Canis lupus familiaris: one gene and its partners. The protein of the gene in region 3 purifies or fractionates together with the protein of the main gene of each other region. This does not show direct contact. Links are inferred from orthologs where the notes say so. Each region holds a gene or a part of one and is shown on either strand. Other genes may lie near its edges.

Region 1 (4,145 bases), on a different chromosome or scaffold from region 3:
CAGATGGGAAACTAAGCCGCGGAGGACGCAAAACCGCGGGCAGGCCAACGTTTACGATAACCAGGTTCAGGGCCGCGGATGAAGACTCCTCTCCTGAGCCACGGAAATAAGAAGAGAAAACTGGAGAAGTAACACTAGGGAGAGGGCAGGTTACGGGGAGCCAGGCCCTCCAAGGGGCCTCCAGGGTCCCCCTCCTCTTGCGCTGCCAGCCCAGGGCTCCTGTGGGGCTGCGGCCCACGGCCTGGCCTCTGGGAGGAGTCCCGCTGTGTCCCCCTGCCCCCAGCCCAGACCTCCCTCCTCCACAGCCTAGTCAGATTCCGCTCCTTTTGCAGCGGCCCCTCCTCCTCCCCCAGGTGCCCTCCTCCAGGCAGCCTTCCTGTCCTCTCCTTCCTCTCGCTCTGGGCCTCAGTTCCCTGAAGCTGCAAAGCCTAAGAGCTGCAGCTTGGGGGTTCCTGAGGTGCCCAGGCATGCTTTCTGGAGAGGGCTCCCTGTAAGGCTGGGGGGGGGGGAGCCTGGCTGGGAAGATGGTGGAGGTGAGGCGAGGTGGGGTGGGGTTGGGGGCAACTTTCGCACCCCTGAAGGGAGAGCAAGCTTGGCTCCAAGAAAGTCCCCCCGAGTGGGCTGTACCGAGCCTGCGGGTCCCAACGCCCGAGGAGGGGCTCCCCTGCACCCTGCTCCCGCCGCTGGCAAGCCCACCAACCGGGAGGGAGCGGCCCCGGGGGGGGGGGGGCGCAGTATCCAATCTCGCAAGTGAGTAGTCGGTGCCCGGCGCCAGCAGCGCCCGCTGCGCCAGCAGCAGGACAAACTGGAACCTGTTGCCACCTCCGCAGTGCAGGGCTGCGCGCAGCCAAGCCCCCCACCCCCTGACCCCCGCCGGCCGCCCGCACCCGCACCCCTGTGGGCCCGCCCCGCCGCGCCCCGCGCCGGCTCCCCAGGCCCGCAGGCCGCGCGCTCGCCGCAGGGTGGGCCCCGAGCCGGCCCCTCCAGCACCCCCCCCCGGGCGCCCCCCCAGCCTCCACCCAGCCCGGCCGGCGCCCCTGGGGGGCCGCAGACCCCGCGCGCCGCGTGCGCCCTCCGGTGCCCCGGAGCCCCGGGGAGCGGCGCCCCCTCCCCCGCCACCCCTCACCCCGAAGCGCCCGGTTCCCGCCGGGCCGAGCGGCGGGCAGGGTTTCGGCTGTGGCGGCCCAGTCACATGGCCGGGAGCACAAGTCCCAGCGCCAGCGTCCCTGGCAGATCCGGCGCCTCGTCCACAGATCCACTTTCCGCCGCGGATGCTTTCTGCCTTTCCCGGTCGGGCTCCTCGCAGGACTGGGAGTTCCTCCAAGGCGGAGCGGCCCCAGGCTGCCCCAGCCCCCCGCGCAGGGCCTGGCCGGCGCTCCCAGAAGAAATGCTCGCTAACAAAGAAGTCATGAATGAATGAAACCAATTGTTGCATGAGGGAGCCCCGGCGGGTGCTGCTTCTCCCGGAGGCTCACGCGCATTTTCCCACCCCACAGACCCCCACGCACACGCACACACAGCCCGCCGCTCACCGCGCATGCAGGCGCACACACTGCAGCAGACTCCTGTCCTCGCCCAACCCACCTACTACGTGCGTGCCCGGCCACCCGCGGCGTGTGTTTGGCCGCAGCTGGGCCACCTCGCCCTGCCTCGCCTCCCCCCACCCGCACCCCACAGCTAAGTACGGTACCTTGCACCCCAAGTGCCTTCTCTATCTCTTAGGGAAGAGGCCAAGCCAGTCGCTGGGGAGACTCAGGATCGCTTTAGCTTGGCACCCAGGGGGCCTCAGGACGCGAGCTGCTGGCGCCAAAGGCGAGCCAGAGGCACCTGGCAGGGATGCCACCAAATGCTGCAGCCTCTAGAGCCCGAGTGCCAGGTGTCAGGGGGTGGCGGTGGGAGGGACTCGGGCATGTGCTGGGTGGGGGGGGGGTGCTGGGGGCTATTTGCCACGGGGTTGGGGCAGGGTGCCAGAGAGGGTTAATCCAGCAGGTGTGCATACGTGTTGGGGCGTACGAGTGTGCACGCTGGGGAGGCAGGAGGTGTGCGCCTGGGGAATGGGCCTGGCTGCGGCGGCGGGGAGTGTCGGCTGCTGGGGCATGAGTTAGTTTTGGGTCTTCACTCGGGGGTAGGTGGATCGCAGTGTCTCTGGGCTGGGAACGTGGGTGGGGTGTCTGTAATGAGCATATGGGTTGTTGGAGATGGTGGTGGCACGGCGAGGGGAGCTATGTTAGTGCAGCTATGGCAGGGATGTATCGCGTGTGTGTGCGCGCGCGCACGCGCCTGGGTGTGTACTGAGGCATGGCAGGGTCTGGGATGGGTGCTCGCCTGAGTTGGGGGCAGTGCCGGGCGGTGGGTCAGGGGCTGCTGCTGCGTTCGCTGCAGGACTAGGTCCCCGGTGCGCGGTTTGTGCGCGCGCGTGCAAGTGGCAGGGGATGTGCGTGGCCGAGGACAGGGAGGTGCACGGGCGGGATGCGGGGGGTGTGAGGGGGCAGGATCGAGTGGGGCTCGCAGGGGCGCGTGCGTCGGCCCCGTGGGGTGCGCGCTGGCAAGACTTTGGGGTGCAGGGTGGAGGCGCTCACGTCGGAGGGGGCGGCCGGGCGGGGTGGGGGTGGGGTGGGTGGGCGCCGGGGAGCCGCGTGCTCCGCTCACCTCCGCTCACCTCCGCTCACCCCGGATCCGCTCGGCTTCCTGCGCCGGCTCCGCGCGTCGCGGCCGGGAAGTTTCCGAAGCCCGGGCGGCGGGAAGCGCCACCGCCGCTGCCACCGAGCGCCACCGGAGCCTCAGGCGGCGGCCTCGCCTGGAGCCGAGGGGCCGCCGCCGCCGCCGCTGCGGAGGGAAACTCCAAAGCCCGCCTCCGCCGCCGCCTCCTCCCCTCCCGTCGCCGTCTTCTCCGCCCCCTGCCCAGGAGGGGCGATGTCGCCGGCGGCGCGCGGGGAGGGAGCGCGGAGCGAGCGCGGAGGGAGCGCGGCCTGCACCTTCCCCGCCCCGGGCCGCCCTCCTCCCGCCTGCGAGACTGGCCGCCCCGCCCGCCCCGGCCCCCTGAGGGATGCTCGCGCGGCCCCGGCCCGGGCCTCGGGCGCAGGAGTGGGGGGACACCTGACCCGGCGGGACCTGGGCTGGGGGAGGGTGGCACCCAAGAGTCCACGCGGGAGGGCAGCCAAGGGGCCCGTGGAGGACCGGGCACAGCTTGGCCCCCAGGGCCACCGCCTACTGCCACACAGGGTCCATCTGACAGTGCTGCCCCCCCCCCCCCCAGTCCCAGGTCCGTCTGCACTGGCTTCTCCCATTCTCCTGTATCAGATTCTGGCTAATAATAATAGCGTTTGAGCCTCAGTGCCTGGAAGGGGTGGAGCCAGGGCATTGGGGGAGGGCCCGAGAGGGGGCACTGTGGCGGCCCACTTCGCTGTCCTCCGCAGCCGAGGCCCCGAGCATCTCCACCAAGGACCTCATTTTGTGCCCACACCAGTCCGGGAGTCAGAGGGGACTGCCCCCCCTGCCCCGGAGAGCTAGGGACACTGAAGCAGTGGCTTCCTGGGGTCAAGCACGATGTAGTGGCAGCACCAGAGTGGGTTCGGAAGCCCCCCTCCAGTGTCAACAGCAGGACGCACTGGGTTCTGGGCCTCACTCACTGCGGGGGGTGGGGTGGGGGAGAGGAGGCAGGGAGGGGGCGCAGGGGGCTCCCAGGTCAGTGGTAGCTGACTTGCCCCCCCACGTGGGGCACGGGATAGAGAAGCAGCAGGAGGCTGCGGGCTGCTGTGGGCCAGCTGCTGGCAGGCCTCCGGCGTCTCTGCTCAGGGAGCCCAGAGCGAGGCGACGCCAGGCCGGGATGGCATCAGGAGGGAGGCGCGCAGAGCAGGGATGCCAGCAGCGCCATGGATGAGGGGGCAGCCAAGGGAGGCCGGCTCCTGCCTGCAGCTGGGCCGAATTCCCCTGAGTCACTTCCTGGAAACCACAGGAGAGGGGCAGCTTGGTCTCTGGTGCCTCAGTTTCCTCACCTGTAGAGCTGGGGAGAGGGGAGGGCCTCGTGACCTCCCAGGGCCCCACGAGCTTTGCTGCACTTTGGAGGCGCGATGTGTGAGCCCCAGGGGGGGCCTGCTGCCAGCGCCCGGCATACCTGCCTTGTCCTTTGCCCCTTCCAGCGTCCG
Region 2 (2,527 bases), on a different chromosome or scaffold from region 3:
GATGAAGAGCAGGCCGGTGGGGAGCGGGGGTCCTCGGTGGGGGACAGCACCTCAGAGGGCGTTGAGGGAGGGAAGCGGAAGTGGCTGCCACCCGATGGCACTGGAGGGGCACTCTGGGGCACTGCGCCCCCTGCAGGAGAGGGGAGACGTGGCGTCAAGGTCCGCGGTCCAGCCTGGACACAGGCCCATCCTCTCCTCCCTCTGAGGCCAAACCCCCAGCCCAACTACTCACCAGCCAACCCCACATCGATGAAAGGGTAATTAACCAGCACCAGTTTGTTGAAGTTGAACTTGTAGGTGAACCGTTTCCCCTTGGTCTTGTGCAGAATGCGTTTGTTGTAATAATAGCTGTGGGCGTAGAAACACATTGGACCGTCAGTCATGCAGGGACCCCAGTCTAGACCCTTACTCGACGCAAGTTGGGTGTCGCTCACCAAGGAGGACCAAGAAACCTGGGTCACACGCAAGAAGCCAAGGACCCAGGAGAAACAGCTCTCCCCTCAGGTCTGGGGCCAAGACTAGAGGCCACACCCAGACTGTAGTCTCTCCTCAGGACACTTCTATGTGACAGAAGCACTCCAAGGAGGATCAGGACTTGCCCGTGGTCTCACCGCTCCGAGCTGGCAAAGGATCAAACCCGAAGCCTATTCCCGTGGGTTATACGCTCCCCAGCCAGTGGGGGCTCCCCAGCCAGTGGGGGCCATCCACTCTGCCCAGGGGCTTCTGCCCCTCCTCACCGCAGGGCCCGGCTCAGCTTGTCATAATTCATCTGGGGCTTGCACTTGCGGACACCCCAGAGCCGAGCCACTTCGTCAGGGTCCTTGATGACGAATTCCCCGTAGTCCCCCTGCCAGGCGATGACACCCTGGTACTCCTCTTTCCGCAGCAGCTCCAGGATAAAGTGCCACAGCTGGATCTGCCTCGAGCCAGGGGACGACTCCGGCTTGTAGGCCCAATCCGGGAAGGCAAACCCTGGGGACAGACAGGAGGCAGGGGAGTGGCCCCGGGTCAGGATGCCAAGTCCAAGGCTTCAGGTCCCCTCCCAGGGTCCACCCTCCTACCCCGCCCTCCACGTGGGGAAATCCGTCTCCCCTCTGCCAAGTCAGGACCTGAGTTAGGGAGAGACAGTGTGTGTCTGTGTGTGAGGGGGCTAGACGGGAGCTGGGGGGGGAGGGAAGCTGGAGCCTGCTCCAGCGACACGGGAGAAACAGGAAACCGTCGGCGGCGGGTCCCGGGGCCAGTGCCAGGGGGCCAGGCACCAAGCCAGGCCGGCGGGCAGGGCTGCCAGTGGGGGAGGGGCAGGAAGGGGCACACGTGGCCAGCCGGGTTGGGGCGATCCCCCCCGACCCCCCCAATTCCCATTCAGGGCCAGTTATACCCCTCCCCCAACTCACCCCACAGCTCCAGTCCCCTTCTGGGAACATAACACTGTCTCCCCTCCCAAAACCTACCAGAGCCCGACTCCCACCCCAGGACCCGATGATTTTTTTTTTTTTTCTTAAAAGGACCAGGAGGGGTGGGGTGGTTGGTTGACGATGAGGTCAGCGCTTGCACACACAGAGGCTTCTGTCTTCCCTGGAGAGTGAAACCCAGACTGTCTGAGAGAGCCCCCCCCCAACAAGCCCTAGACCCTCTGTGCTGACTGCCCTCCCCGGACCCAGGCGCATGGACACAACCTGGCTGGAACGCCCCAGCCCAGGCCTGGAGACTGAGCAGGCAATGCTGCAGCCTGTTCCCCCTTCCGCCTTCTCATCCTCAAGCTTCTTCCCTGCCCACCTGCCTACCCGCCCCCAGCATTAACCTTGGGTAGAGGTTGGTGGTGGGCTGGCTGGTCCCTGGAGGGGGTGGGCAGCCTGGGGGGGGGGGACGGTGGGGGGGCTGCGGTTGTCATTTCCCAAACCCCCGGGTAATCAGGGGCCATCAATAATTCAGCACTAGGCAGCCGGTAATGGAGGGGTGGGAGGAGGGAAGGGGAGGAAGAGAAGGAGGGGGAGGCAGGATAGGGGCCCTGATGCCACCAGAGGGAGAAGGCCAAGGTGGACAGCAAAGGATGGGCGGGGTCCCAAGTCCCAGTCAGGCTGCTGGAGTGAGCCTCTGGCCTGCCTCAAGCCCCAACTGAAGCAGGTACCAACCAGGCCTGGGGCAATGCTGAGCCTCCCTCAAAGACTCCACCGCAGCCTGGACTCCCAACAGAGGATACTTCCCCTTGGGGACACAGGGATTCAGCAGTTCCTACTCCCACAGGCACTACCCCTTCTAAATCCAAAGCTGACTCTATCCCCTACAGTGAACCAGCTTCCTGAGCTCCAGCCTTGGGTAGGATGGAATGGCCAGCATTCCCCACTAGTCACAGCCCCATTCAGAAATCCTAGCCTCAAACCAGCGCCTCGGGGCTCCAAGGATACGACCTCCAGCTGGTTACAGTCCCAGAGTCCTACACCAGCAGCCCCTGCTCCATTCAGAAGTGACAGCCCCTGACAATGCCTTCCATAGATCCCAGCATCCATAGCCCCATCCCTCTCTCGGG
Region 3 (4,237 bases):
AGAGGCAGAGACATAGGCAGAGGGAGGAGAAGCAGGCTCTGTGCGGGACTCAATCCCCGGTCTCCAGGATCGCACCCTGAGCCAAAGGCAGCGGCTCCACCACTGAACCACCCAGACGTCCTGCTAGCAGGTTTTTAAATATTTGCTTATTCACCTCTGAGATTGACTAAACTTTGCTGACGTCTAGAAGTCCAGAGTTGAGGGCTTTCAAGATCACAGTGTTGGAGAACTGGGATGTAGGATCTTGCATCCTTACTTCCCCTCCAAAGATGGCCTGGGAAATGCTCAGAAGCAGTGGCTGTTAGCACTCCTGTCTCATTTGTCTTAGCTATTCCTGGTATTCACCTGCTTTAGGATTCTGATTTTAAATTTTCAACCTCTGGCGTTTGTGAGTACTTCAGGGCCTCGGTGTGTTTGTCTCATTTTCTCTAGATCTTAACGTTTTGGTTTTGGTGTTTCCATCTTTGCATTTGTTTTTTATGTCCTAAGATTGTCTACCTGTACTGACGTGGGTCTCAGTCTCTGACTCTGTCTTTCTCCACTAACCCCAACCCCTCAGTCGGCTTTGTATTTCTTCCTGGCACTTAAGATTTTATTCATTTATTCATGAGAGACACAGAGAGAGAGGCAGAGACACAGGCAAGAGAGAAGCAGGCTCCATGCAGGGAGCCCGGTGCGGGACTCGATCCCAGGACCCCGGGGTCACGCCCTGGGCCAAGGGCAGACGCTCAACCACCGAGCCATCCCGGGGTCCCACTACTTGAGTATTCTTTACCTCTCTTCCTTCCTGTCTCATCTACCCACCGGGTTATCTCCTCACTCTAGAATGTGGATGCCCAGGAACAATGCAGCTGCTCACCAAACACTGGTGGAAGGAAGGTGTCTGATTAGCGGATCCTGAGCCTCTCGCTGGAGGCTTTGTGTTTCACACTTTCTCAGTATGCAAATATCTTCCGTGGTCTCGGTCCTGCCTTTCATTTTCCTGGCCGCGTCTGGAGGCCTCGGTGTGTGCGTGGGCCACGGGGTCGCGCGGGCCCGCGGAGGTGTGCGGAGCGTCGGCATGCCGCACGCGCGGCCCCAGGTCGTGCCCCGGCCCAGTCAGCGCCCCGCTCCGGGGCTCGCCTCGCCCGGAAAGTTTCTCAGGCCCGCGGCCCCCATCCCCGTCCCGACGCCCTGCCGTCCTTCTGCGTCTCGGAGCCCGCATCCCGCGCCAACACCCCCGCGGGCGCACGTGACCAGGCAGGGCGGTGACTCCGCCGCCGCCGCCGCCGCAGTGCCCCGCCCCGACCTGCCGCTTCCGCCGGCCCGCGCAGCCCCGCCCCCAGGCGGCGGGGAACCAATCCGCGCGCACGCTCCTTGGCCCCGCCCCGGCGCCCTCCTCGGCGCGCGCCCCTCCCGCCGCCCGCCGGCCCGCCCGTCAGTCAGGCAGGCAGGCAGTCGGTCCGAGCGGCCGTAGTCTCTCCCGCGGTCCTGAGCGCTGCCCTCCTTGCTCCTTTCCGATCAGCGTCGGCAGCTGCACCCGCAGCGGCGCAGTCCCCCCGGGAGGCGCGGCGTGGGCCGAGCGGCGGCCGCGGAGCGTCGAGCCTTTCGCGGCGGCGGCGGCGGCGGCCCGGCAGCCAACATGGCGGCGGCGGCGGCGGCGGGCGCGGGCCCGGAGATGGTCCGCGGGCAGGTGTTCGACGTGGGGCCGCGCTACACCAACCTCTCCTACATCGGCGAGGGCGCCTACGGCATGGTGTGGTGAGTGTCGGCGCCTGTCCGCAGGCCGCGCCACGCCCGCCCACCCGCCGCCCGGAGACGCGGCGGACGCAGCCGCGGCCTCGTCTGCGTCCCGGCCTCCCGCGCCGCCGCGCCCCCAGCCCGTGGCTTCCGCGCGGAGTGGGCGCCGGGGGCCTCGGGCGGGGCCCGGGGGCCGCTGGAGGTTTGGGTGTTGCTCACTGCGCTTCGCGGGCCGGCCTCCGCTCGCCGAGGGGAGGGGCTCGGGGGGCGGAGGCCAGTGTCCGGGGACCCGGGGATCCGGGCGCGGCGCGGGTTTTAGAGCCGGGACCCCCGGGAGGGGAACGGAAGTGGTCCCCGGGCCCCCGCCCCCGGCCCCCATGATGCTAGCATCTTGGCCTTCCTCTTGACATCCCGACTGTAGAGCCAGGAATTCCATCGGATGCTCGTCGGTGGTGGTGTTGGCCGCGGTCTTGTGTGCAGAACCTGAAATAATCTTCTCCCCTCCCCGGTATTCCGCGAACGGCTTTCATTAAATATTTTCGGTCGTGCTAACGGTGCCCCGCGCAGGCTGTCCGTAAAAAGCATCAGTGGCACCGCTGTGGGTTGTGAAATATTTTAATCTTGAAGTTTTAAAATGGATTTTAATACCCACACTGTATGCGTTTCAAGAAGGATAAGCCTGCACCGCTCTCTTGGTTGATTTATTAGTCATTTGGAGTTGGGCTTAATTTCACTTTTTTCTTTACCCCTAGTGAACTCTCTTGGCGTAAATGTATTCACACGTTTTAGCAGAATTGTTGTGGACTTGAGCTGTTAATGATGTTTTAGTGGTCAGTATATGTGCAGCCTTAATGGAATTCTTGCAGGACTACGTGCAGCCTCCCTTATCTTGATCATATCCCTCAGAAACGTTCTTGGTTCTTTTTATTAGAATTAGCTGTATTATTTTGTGCTGATGAGGACTTACGGAAGCGTGGGCTCCCTTACACCTCTTTCTTGTGTGTTTTGAGTTGAATGAAGGAAGCAAACATATTTACGGAACACTTGGTGGCAGGTACTGTACTAGGTATATTATCTCATTTTATATGAACAGCCACCTTCGAGGTGGTGATATCCCTCTTTCAGGGGAGAAAATATTTCGAGGTGGAGCAAATTCTTCAAGTCCTACGTCTAGAAGAGACAGACTTGAGATGATAGACTGAGATCCTCTCTCATTTGCTGGAGCTCTTTCAGTTATATTTTGTCTTTAAATAGTGTTATTAGTAGCTTTAGAGTTTGGTATATTTTACTGTTGTAAGCAAATCTGTTTTAAAAATGTATTCAAATTTAAGTGATTGTGATTTTAGAAATGCCATAAAGGGCCTGTTTTAACAAGTATTTTAGACTAATTAAATTTTAAAAAGACTAATTGAATCTTGACTATTTTCATTCTCTTGAGGAGCAAAATGCTTCACATATACAACTGTGAAAATTAACGTGAACTCAGGTTTAGGAGCCAAAAGAAGAATTAAACTAGGTCAGGTCTAAAAGAAATAAGGCCCTAGAAAGTACTGCCCACAGCATCACTTCTCTGTCATAACATCTGATTGCTATGACACCTGCTGGTAAGTAGGCATGTGTCATGAGAGGTTCAGAATTGTCCATCATGTCCCATGGCTCTTTTTGAAAATTTAGCATCTAACATATGGACTGAAAAAACTTTAGGTTTAGGATACTATTTTTTTTTATTTTTAAATTTTTAATTTTTTTTTTTTTTTTTAGGTTTAGGTTACTTTAATTGAAAGTTTTTTTTCCCCCCGATGAGATTATTACTAGTTTGAAGATAAGTAAGATAGGGTAACTATTTCTTTTTTTTTTTAATATTTTTATTTACTTATTTATGACAGTCACACAGAGAGAGAGAGAGAGAGAGGCAGAGACACAGGCAGAGGGAGAAGCAGGCTCCATGCACCGGGAGCCTGACGTGGGATTCGATCCCGGGTCTCCAGGATCGCGCCCTGGGCCAAAGGCAGGCGCCAAACCACTGCGCCACCCAGGGATCCCAGGGTAACTATTTCTGTCATTGCTGTAGACATATTTGACCTTCCAAGTCTTTATTAGGGAAGATGCCAAGTACTTTTACAGTAATCTTCCTTTCCTAAAATCCAAATACAAGTACAACTGGAATTAAAATCCTTGGTCCAGATTATAGTTTTTAATCCTTACCTTAGTAAGAATGTAATTTATGTTGCACATCATTAGTGTTTAATAAGTGTTGATTAAGAATGCTGGGTTTAGGGATCCCTGGGTGGCGCAGCGGTTTGGCACCTGCCTTTGGCCCAGGGCGCGATCCTGGAGACCCGGGATCGAATCCCACATCGGGCTCCCGGTGCATGGAGCCTGCTTCTTCCTCTGCCTGTGTCTCTGCCTCTCTCTCTCTCTCTCTGTGACTATCATAAATAAATAAAAATTAAAAAAAAAAAAAAGAATGCTGGGTTTATGGAGGGCTTCTTGAATGAAATGTTAATATTTATTTATT
Region 4 (3,513 bases), on a different chromosome or scaffold from region 3:
ACTGTGGAACAATGTCTACAGACTTACAGAAACACCTGTGCTCTTGCACATTACACAACCACTTATTTCAATCACTCTGCATCCCATCCTGCGCCCTCCCACCGGTTATAGGTTCCCCTTCAATCACCACTCCCCCACTGCCTCTGCTTATAAACCGTAAACCACGTTTCAGTGCTGCTAACACTCATTTCCTCCAGAAAGCTTTTCTCCATCCCACTCGACACTGCTCACATTGTTCAGTGATGGGGAAAAGGAAATACACTAGACTCAAGTCTGGTCGCAAACCTTCCAGCAGCTACCGTGTAAGAAGTGTGGTGCTGGCTGGACATCCTGTTACTAAAGAGTCCTGTCCTCACTCTCACTCTTTCTTGGTGGCAATTTAGATGTTTGGGTGTGTATGTGCTTATTTCTCCCTTTAGTCTGGCAGGTTCCCTGTGGGGCAGAGACAAGTGACTCTGACTCCTCTCCTCTCTCCAACCCCATCAGCCACCCCAAAAAAGCACTCATTACAAAGTTCTTTCCCACAAAGAGGAATAAAGATCACCAGACTCTTTGGGCATTTACCTGTTTGTACGCCTGGGATCCTGCAATTTCCCACTTTTCCCAGAATTAAATGCCAGCCTCGGAAAATCAACAACTACCTGGGTCGGCTTCAGGATGTTCCTGGCTCTCTGGTCGACAGTACTTTCCAAATGCCTCTTCCTTAGGAATGTCGGGGTAGAGATAGACCAGTGGAGACACCAGGATGTTGGTAGCATCCATGATCTTATAGCCCATGATGATTTCAGCAAACGACATGTTGTTCAGCTGTTGCTTGGTATATGGTTCCACCGACTGGATCTGGGTCTTACCTGTCATGGGATATTGTAAGGGAAGATAAGGGAACCTATGGCCAGGTAATCTCAGAGAAAACAACCTGATTTATTTTTCCTCGAAAGGGAAAGACTTATGCCAACCTAGCTCCGGAGCCCTGAATATCCTGTTCAATAACCTGGCACTATGGAAATGTTCAGTTGGCTTCTGGAGAGACTACCCAGTTGGGTCGTAGGCAATATACCTGAAAACTACTCGTGTGAGATATATTAACAGGGTAGGTAAGCAAGGAGATGAAGAATGAGATTTAAACTGCTAGGCAAATATTAGACCCTGGAGCAAACAAAACAAAACTTGCAAACAATCCTCCAGTTGAAAGAATTTGGAGAAAAGAAGTCACTGAAGTATTTTACAAGCCCATGACAGGGGAGTGTGAAGCCATCTCTGCCCACTAGGGGGCAGTAGGTGCTTGAAACTAGTAGTAACCAAGGCGGGGAGGCAACTGCCACTAGGTGGGGTGGGTGAGAGTCAAACTTACCGCTGATGTCCTTCTCCACCCAAGTGAAGGTGACACCTCCTTCTTTGCTGCTTTCACTGAACCGTAGCAGGAAGGTGCCTGGGGGCTTTGTGCTCAGGATGGCCCGCTCCCGCTCCTTACTGATAAAACCCATTATGTATCTGGAGCCAAAGAAGAGCAACCAGATGTGAGCTGATAGGGTCCCCACCACCAGCCTGCTGAGGGAGCAAGTGACTTGTTACACATGTGCACTCCACCAGACACAAAAGTTTCAACCTACCCTTCATTCCAAAGAGCCAGGATATACTTTTTCACGAGGTCAATGATATTGTCTAGCCAAACCCAGAAGGAGAAGCCTTTGCCAGCCATGTTTTCCTAAAGAAAAGAATAATGGGAAAGCCAAGTCTACCCTTCCAGTCTTTTCCTTCCCAGGGGCACCATGCCACCAAAATCCCCAGGCCCATCTCCCCTCAAGTAGGTCCTACTGGCCTCCAGACCATGAGTCTTCAAGCCCAGTGCCATCCAGGACAACCTCACAGGTGTGCATTCACTCCCACTCCCAATCCATAAGGATTTAATAAAATAGCTTACTTTGCAAAATTTAGCCCACGTAATCTGACACCCTGAGTAGTTCACACCAGGTCCTGAAGGAAAAGAACAAATAAAACAGTGTAATTTTCAGCTTTGAATCAAGATCTTAGGATTGTAACACAACATACATTCACACACATCTGTCCCACAATGGGCCGAGCAACCATCGGTTTTCATGTGTTTGCAGGTCCCTACAGTAGAGGGCATGTATGTGCACATACGTGCGTATACACACCTACACCCTCACAAAACCCCATCATCATTTGATCACCTGAGGGGTTGTTTAGCCTCGCAGAGGTGGTGGATGACATACCAAGTCTCTCCCTGCTACTCACATACCACCTCTTCTTGGTCTTGTGTGGTGGACAGGGGACCAGCAGCACACAGTAATAAGCTGACAGAATTAGAGGGGCAAGTTTGGGGACAGCACAGGATAAAGCTACTTATAGTCCAGGTAGCATGTAAAATAGTGCATGAAATTTTTTTCAGGAGAAAAACATAAAAAACAAGCCTCTCCAGTTTATTGAAGAAACAGACATGGATGTCAAGCTTTCATCTCCACCTTCTAACATGCACTTAAAAAATATCTTCCTAAGGTTAGATGAAGCTGTGCTCTGAACGGGGTGAGGAGTCCAGCCACCAAGAGAAAAGAAATCTGCCTCTTACCTCAGAAATGACGACCATGAGGCAAGCTGCCTCTGCATCCTTCCACTCGCCCCCCAAAACTGCTGGAGCACATGTTTTTCTGACCCCAGCACAGTGCCTTGCTCAGCAAATTTTCCTGAATGAATAGCCCCACGGGCCAGATTCCTTCTCTGAGGAGGGCAGCAGGGAAAAGAGGGAAAATGCTAACCTAAGAGTTTCTCTGCCAGCGTAGTCAACTGCTCGATGCTCAGTCCTCGCTTTGTGGTGGAGGAGAACTGCCAGCTCAGCACCTCAGCCACTTGATCCCAGGTTCCAATCGGGGGCTTGGTGAAAAAGTTCACGTTCTGTTCAAAATGACATATTTGCTCATTGGGATGAGACAGCGGCGCCTGATGACCTACACGAGGGACCACAACAATGGTTTCCAGAGGACGGGCACCTACCTTGGGGTTGCTGGTCAGCATGTTGTACCACAGGATTGATGCCCAGGCATTTGGCATCTGACAGATATTCGAGATCACCACAACTGGCAAGGAGTGGGTCTGTGGAGAAAATGGAGAATGAATTGGGGAGGACCCTCACAGTTTTGAACATCTCTTTAGCCATAACTGCACGTTTGGGAATAAAAGGATGTGCCATGAACCACACCTACTGTCAACTTTTGGGGAGGAGTGTGGCTGAGTCAGCTCAACACCAAGAGTGGAAAGAATGCCAAACATGGGTCACAGGACATAATCAGGAACTTGAAAATCAGACTTGCTCAAAGTCAGACTCACAGTCCACAGATTCCACATTTAGAAAACCTGGAAGGCATTCTCTGAGAACTGAAGCTACATTTACCCATTAAACAGAGAGCTCCCAGTAGTCAAAGACAAAGCTTTCTTTGCGTATATCTTGAACTTAAAATCAAGAAAGTTGGTAAAACAGAATGCAAATGCCATGGTTTC
Region 5 (4,160 bases), on a different chromosome or scaffold from region 3:
AGCACCAGTTTAGACTTGTCAGAGTGGCCAGAAAATAAAATGATGTTGAATTCTTATGTTCTGGTTCATGACTATGTGTACACTCTGAAAAGGAAATATGGGCAAGCAAAAGATGGGATGGTGGACAGTGACTGAGCAGCATCATGAGTTGAGAACAATTAAAACCATACTTAACAAAAACTTCCCTAAACAATCAAACTTGATTGTTAGATTTAGGATTTAGATTCAAGAACTAGGTAGAAATCCAGCCTGTATTAATCTATTAACTCTTTGTGAGAGTGTAGTTAGTACATGTTATTTTCATGCTCCAGATCTTTTCCTTACGAACACTTAAATGTACTATATCACACATACATATGACTTGTTAGAAATCTGGGGAGACGGAACATCAGAAGAATGGAATGAGATGTCCTGGGAGTTATCGCAAGTTTTCTGCAACTTCTTTCTTGATCAACAATGACTGGTAGCTAACAGGTAGTTAATAATTTTAAACAAACAAAACAGTCTATGCATTTCATTAAACGCTTCAAACTTTTGGATCTTTTTAAAATAGTTTTTTAAGGATTTTATTTATTTGAGAGATAGACTGAGCGAGAGCACAAGCAGAATGGAGGTGCAGAGGGAGAAGCAGACTGCTTACTTAGCAGGTAGCCTAATGCGGGGTTTGATCCCGGGACACCGAGGTCATGACCTGAGCTGAAGGCAGATGCTTAGTTGACTGAGCTACCTATCAGATTTCTTTATTTCCTATTTCTTCTACCCAGAATGGACAGTCCATCTTCCATTTTGCCTGACTAATTCTTACTCAGCCTTTTCCAGTTTTCTCTGAGTCCTCAAATTAGGTTGAAAACCTCTCTTTGTAGTAGCTTGTGAGTAGTGTTCTTATCAGAGAACCTGTCAGTTTTGTAATTATCCATATTCCATGTTAGACAAAACTGCTTGTGGTTAGGTCTCTCTAGATCATGTTCATAACCCCAGTATTTAGCTCAGGGTTGAGTTTGACAGTGCGGTGAAGAAAACATAGAAAGTCACTGGGAATGTGGGAATGGGGATAGAGTTTTATAATTCCTCAATCAGGGTTCAAATCCAGCTTTAAATGCTAACCAATAGACATTACTATGTGCCAAGTACTTTTTAGTCAGAAGATGGTAAGAACATTATACTCTCTCCTTTTCTAATCTAGCTTTAAGACCCCTGGCAATTTATTTTTATTTGAGGCTAATTTTCCTTATGAAACAGAAATTAAAAAAAGTATCCACCTCATAGCTGTTGGGATTACTGGAGTAATAGGAGAAATCACTACAGTGTCACTCGAGCATCAAATAAAGTAATAATTATTACTTCTGAAATTGTGAGTTGGTAAAGTCAGTTTAATCTACTATAAAGAAAACAGAATTCTCCTTAAAAGACATACTGCTGAGAGAATTTAGAGAAGATTCTTTGAATATCCAGGAAACAGTATATTCCCGATCTTTCAATTAAGAAAATAAGCTTGTAAAAAAAAAAAAAAAAAAAAAAAAGGAAGAAGCTTGTGCTGACCCATTTGCTCACTTGGCCTTCCTTTGTGAGCAGAGTGATTCTTATTTCTATTTGCATGTTGGCTGACAAGTTAAAGATGCCAACAAGTGCCTTTTATAAAGAGTATATTAAAATGAATAAATCATGGGCTTTGATGTTCAGCCCTACCAATTACTGGCTGCTCAGAAGTTACAAAACCCCTCTGTTTCCTCATATGTAAAACGAGGACAATATCAATCCTTTCTCACTTGGAAAGAGTTAACCAGGTAGAACAGAAAAGACCTTAGCACAGTCCCTGCATACAGTTTGCATCCACTGAATGATGAGTGTGCCTCACTAACCATATCTGCGTCTTCCTGGTTAGTGTGCTTATGCATCACAGCGACTAAGTTCACAGGATGGGTTCACGAAGGCCTGATTTTATGTCCCAGTTCTGCTAACTTGGTTGTGTAACACTGAGCAAATCTATGTCTCAATCTTTTTATCAATAAAATAATAATAGGATTACCTCTCAGGGATGTTGGGTAATTAAAAAAGAATAATCAATGTAAATACTTAATACGGTGATTGGGGTTCTACGTGTCATTACTTCATTATGTTTTCAGTAAGTATGCTACTACCATAATTTTACCCATAAATTGCCTTTACCAATTATCCTTCTTTTATTCCTGAATGGAATATCCAAAAGAAATTCACAAGTTCATACGAAAAACTTGGTCAATTTTTTTTTTTTTTTAATCAGTGGGGCCTTCCGGACTTGACCATCAAATAGCTACCAATAGTTTCCTTATCCCCACTTCCTTCTCTCTGCCTTAGTTTCCCCACAGCACTCGTTCATTGGCTGTGTTCTCCAGCTGAATGTAGTGAACTCGATGGGGCAGAGACTTCGCTTCATTCACTGCTCTACCCTTATCTGAATGGTGCTAGGGAAGTAAATGCTTAGTATAGATTCTAGGAAAATAATCAATTGAATGAGACCCATCGCAGCCCTAAAATCTCCGATTAGCCTCCGAGGAAGGGACTCGAGAGCGGCAAGGTGCGTGACAACATATCCCGACCCCCAACTCCTTTCCCCGTACGCACCGGAAGGGTCATTGAATCGTTTCAGGGGCGCCTTAGGAAAAGACATGTTGATGACCAGCTCCACAAACCGAAGGTCACTAGCTCTCCTCCGCAACTCCTGGCTGCTTATTTCGGCCTAATCGCTCCAAATTCAAACCTCCCGGCTTACCCACGGCCCACCTCTAACGTCAGCAGATTTGAAAACCAAAGTTTTGGGCGCACCAATCCAGGACGCGAACGACTAAAGAGCATGCGCACCTGGCCTGGTCGCATCCAATCAGGGCTCCTGTGAGTTTAGGTCACCAGCCAATAGGAGACTATTATTGCCCAACCCGTGTCCAATCGTTCCTGGCGTTACTCAATTGTAACTTACACGCTCGCCTCCTTTGCGCAAGCGCATTTCACGTCTGAGAAGTTGGCAGGCCCGCTTCTGGCGTCATAAAGGCGGCAGGGCAGTGAGTTCTAGTTTCGCTAGTTCCAACTTTCTCCCACCGTCCCTTGGGTGTCAGCTTCCCCGGATTTCGGTTCTTTCAACCTGGGCACTGCCAGCGTCGTAAACGGCCACTGGAAAGGAGAAAGGAGCTCGCGGAGACCTCGGCTGACGTCCCTGCGCATGTGCAGTGACCTGAGCGGAGAGTCGGGGCGTGGCCTGAGCGCGGGGAGCTCGCGCGTGCGCTCGTCTCGCTCCGTGCGGCTGCAGCTGGAAGGCTCCCGGAGTATGTCGGCCCCGTTTGAGGAGCGCAGTGGGGTGGTTCCGTGCGGGACGCCGTGGGGCCAGTGGTACCAGACCTTGGAGGAGGTGTTTATTGAAGTTCAGGTGCCGCCTGGCACTCGCGCCCAGGACATCCAGTGCGGCCTGCAGAGCCGGCATGTGGCGCTGGCCGTGGGTGGTCGCGAGATCCTCAAGGTAGCGGCAGGTCGGGGCTTGCGCTCACTTCCCTCCCGGCCTCTAAGCCCCCGAGTCCGCAGGCTCATGGTTTCCACGGAAGGACTGCTGGAAGGCCGAGTGAATGGCTCTTTGAGCCGAAAGAGCGATAGATAGCACTGGCCTGGTTTGGGTCTGGTCCGTGTCCCCACCCAAGGCTAGTCCCGAGTTGACGGAGAGATGTGAGGAGCCCGGTGTCCTGGCTTTCTCTCTAAACCGAAGAAGTTGCTGCTTTTGTTCCCCTGCGGGTCTTCACCTAGATGTTTAAAGGGACCAATACTCGTTGTACATATATTTTCTTCGAGGCGCTGATTTTAAGTGCTGAGAGGTCAGGGATGACCAAGACCGAAGTTCCCTGCGCTCAGGTGATGCTCTTGCAGGGAGGCATACTAAAGCGAAGTTAGTAAATGCTTAAGCAGTTAGGGGACAGTAGAGGACACAGTACAGGGTAAGGATATCGGGAGGAGGATTCAGAGGTGGCGTCAGGTGATTTATTTTTTTTTTTTTCCACAAAACTAGAAACATTCTGCCTGTTTGTGGAGCGGTTAAGCAGGTAGTCGAGAGGCGTTTTGTGCCCATCATGCCCGTCGGATCCTTGGTAAACTTTATAGGTAAATTCAGTGACGTGCAAGTTAGATTTCTTTTCCGGATCCGA

What was found.
Region 1: the proteins of MAPK1 (region 3) and DUSP9 purify together in Homo sapiens (affinity purification with mass spectrometry; 5 studies listed by BioGRID and IntAct, with this or other methods). This does not show direct contact. The link is inferred for Canis lupus familiaris from reciprocal best matches to the Homo sapiens genes MAPK1 and DUSP9.
Region 2: the proteins of MAPK1 (region 3) and ERF purify together in Homo sapiens (co-immunoprecipitation; 3 studies listed by BioGRID and IntAct, with this or other methods). This does not show direct contact. The link is inferred for Canis lupus familiaris from reciprocal best matches to the Homo sapiens genes MAPK1 and ERF.
Region 4: the proteins of MAPK1 (region 3) and STAT3 purify together in Homo sapiens (affinity purification with western blotting; 3 studies listed by BioGRID and IntAct, with this or other methods). This does not show direct contact. The link is inferred for Canis lupus familiaris from reciprocal best matches to the Homo sapiens genes MAPK1 and STAT3.
Region 5: the proteins of MAPK1 (region 3) and HMMR purify together in Homo sapiens (affinity purification with mass spectrometry; 4 studies listed by BioGRID and IntAct, with this or other methods). This does not show direct contact. The link is inferred for Canis lupus familiaris from reciprocal best matches to the Homo sapiens genes MAPK1 and HMMR.

The regions. Positions count from the first base shown.
Region 1 is NC_049260.1:122,651,271-122,655,415, reverse strand, and holds the start of DUSP9 (dual specificity protein phosphatase 9), read right to left. Parts: upstream 2,805-4,145; 5' UTR 2,650-2,804; intron 1,828-2,649; 5' UTR 1,691-1,827; intron 1,395-1,690; exon of another isoform or gene 1,127-1,394; intron 94-1,126; exon of another isoform or gene 1-93. UniProt on the Homo sapiens protein: Inactivates MAP kinases. Has a specificity for the ERK family.
Region 2 is NC_049222.1:112,849,628-112,852,154, reverse strand, and holds part of ERF (ETS domain-containing transcription factor ERF), read right to left. Parts: intron 973-2,527; coding exon 738-972; intron 349-737; coding exon 233-348; intron 131-232; coding exon 1-130. UniProt on the Homo sapiens protein: Potent transcriptional repressor that binds to the H1 element of the Ets2 promoter. May regulate other genes involved in cellular proliferation.
Region 3 is NC_049247.1:31,299,827-31,304,063, reverse strand, and holds the start of MAPK1 (mitogen-activated protein kinase 1), read left to right. Parts: upstream 1-1,437; 5' UTR 1,438-1,621; coding exon 1,622-1,740; intron 1,741-4,237. UniProt on the Homo sapiens protein: Serine/threonine kinase which acts as an essential component of the MAP kinase signal transduction pathway. MAPK1/ERK2 and MAPK3/ERK1 are the 2 MAPKs which play an important role in the MAPK/ERK cascade.
Region 4 is NC_049230.1:20,479,937-20,483,449, reverse strand, and holds part of STAT3 (signal transducer and activator of transcription 3), read right to left. Parts: intron 3,109-3,513; coding exon 3,010-3,108; intron 2,911-3,009; coding exon 2,775-2,910; intron 1,975-2,774; coding exon 1,922-1,974; intron 1,706-1,921; coding exon 1,611-1,705; intron 1,492-1,610; coding exon 1,352-1,491; intron 852-1,351; coding exon 639-851; intron 1-638. UniProt on the Homo sapiens protein: Signal transducer and transcription activator that mediates cellular responses to interleukins, KITLG/SCF, LEP and other growth factors. Once activated, recruits coactivators, such as NCOA1 or MED1, to the promoter region of the target gene.
Region 5 is NC_049225.1:48,676,410-48,680,569, forward strand, and holds the start of HMMR (hyaluronan mediated motility receptor), read right to left. Parts: upstream 2,806-4,160; 5' UTR 2,648-2,805; coding exon 2,602-2,647; intron 1-2,601. Other genes in the region: NUDCD2 (nudC domain-containing protein 2), read left to right, coding at 3,194-3,487. UniProt on the Homo sapiens protein: Receptor for hyaluronic acid (HA). Involved in cell motility. When hyaluronan binds to HMMR, the phosphorylation of a number of proteins, including PTK2/FAK1 occurs.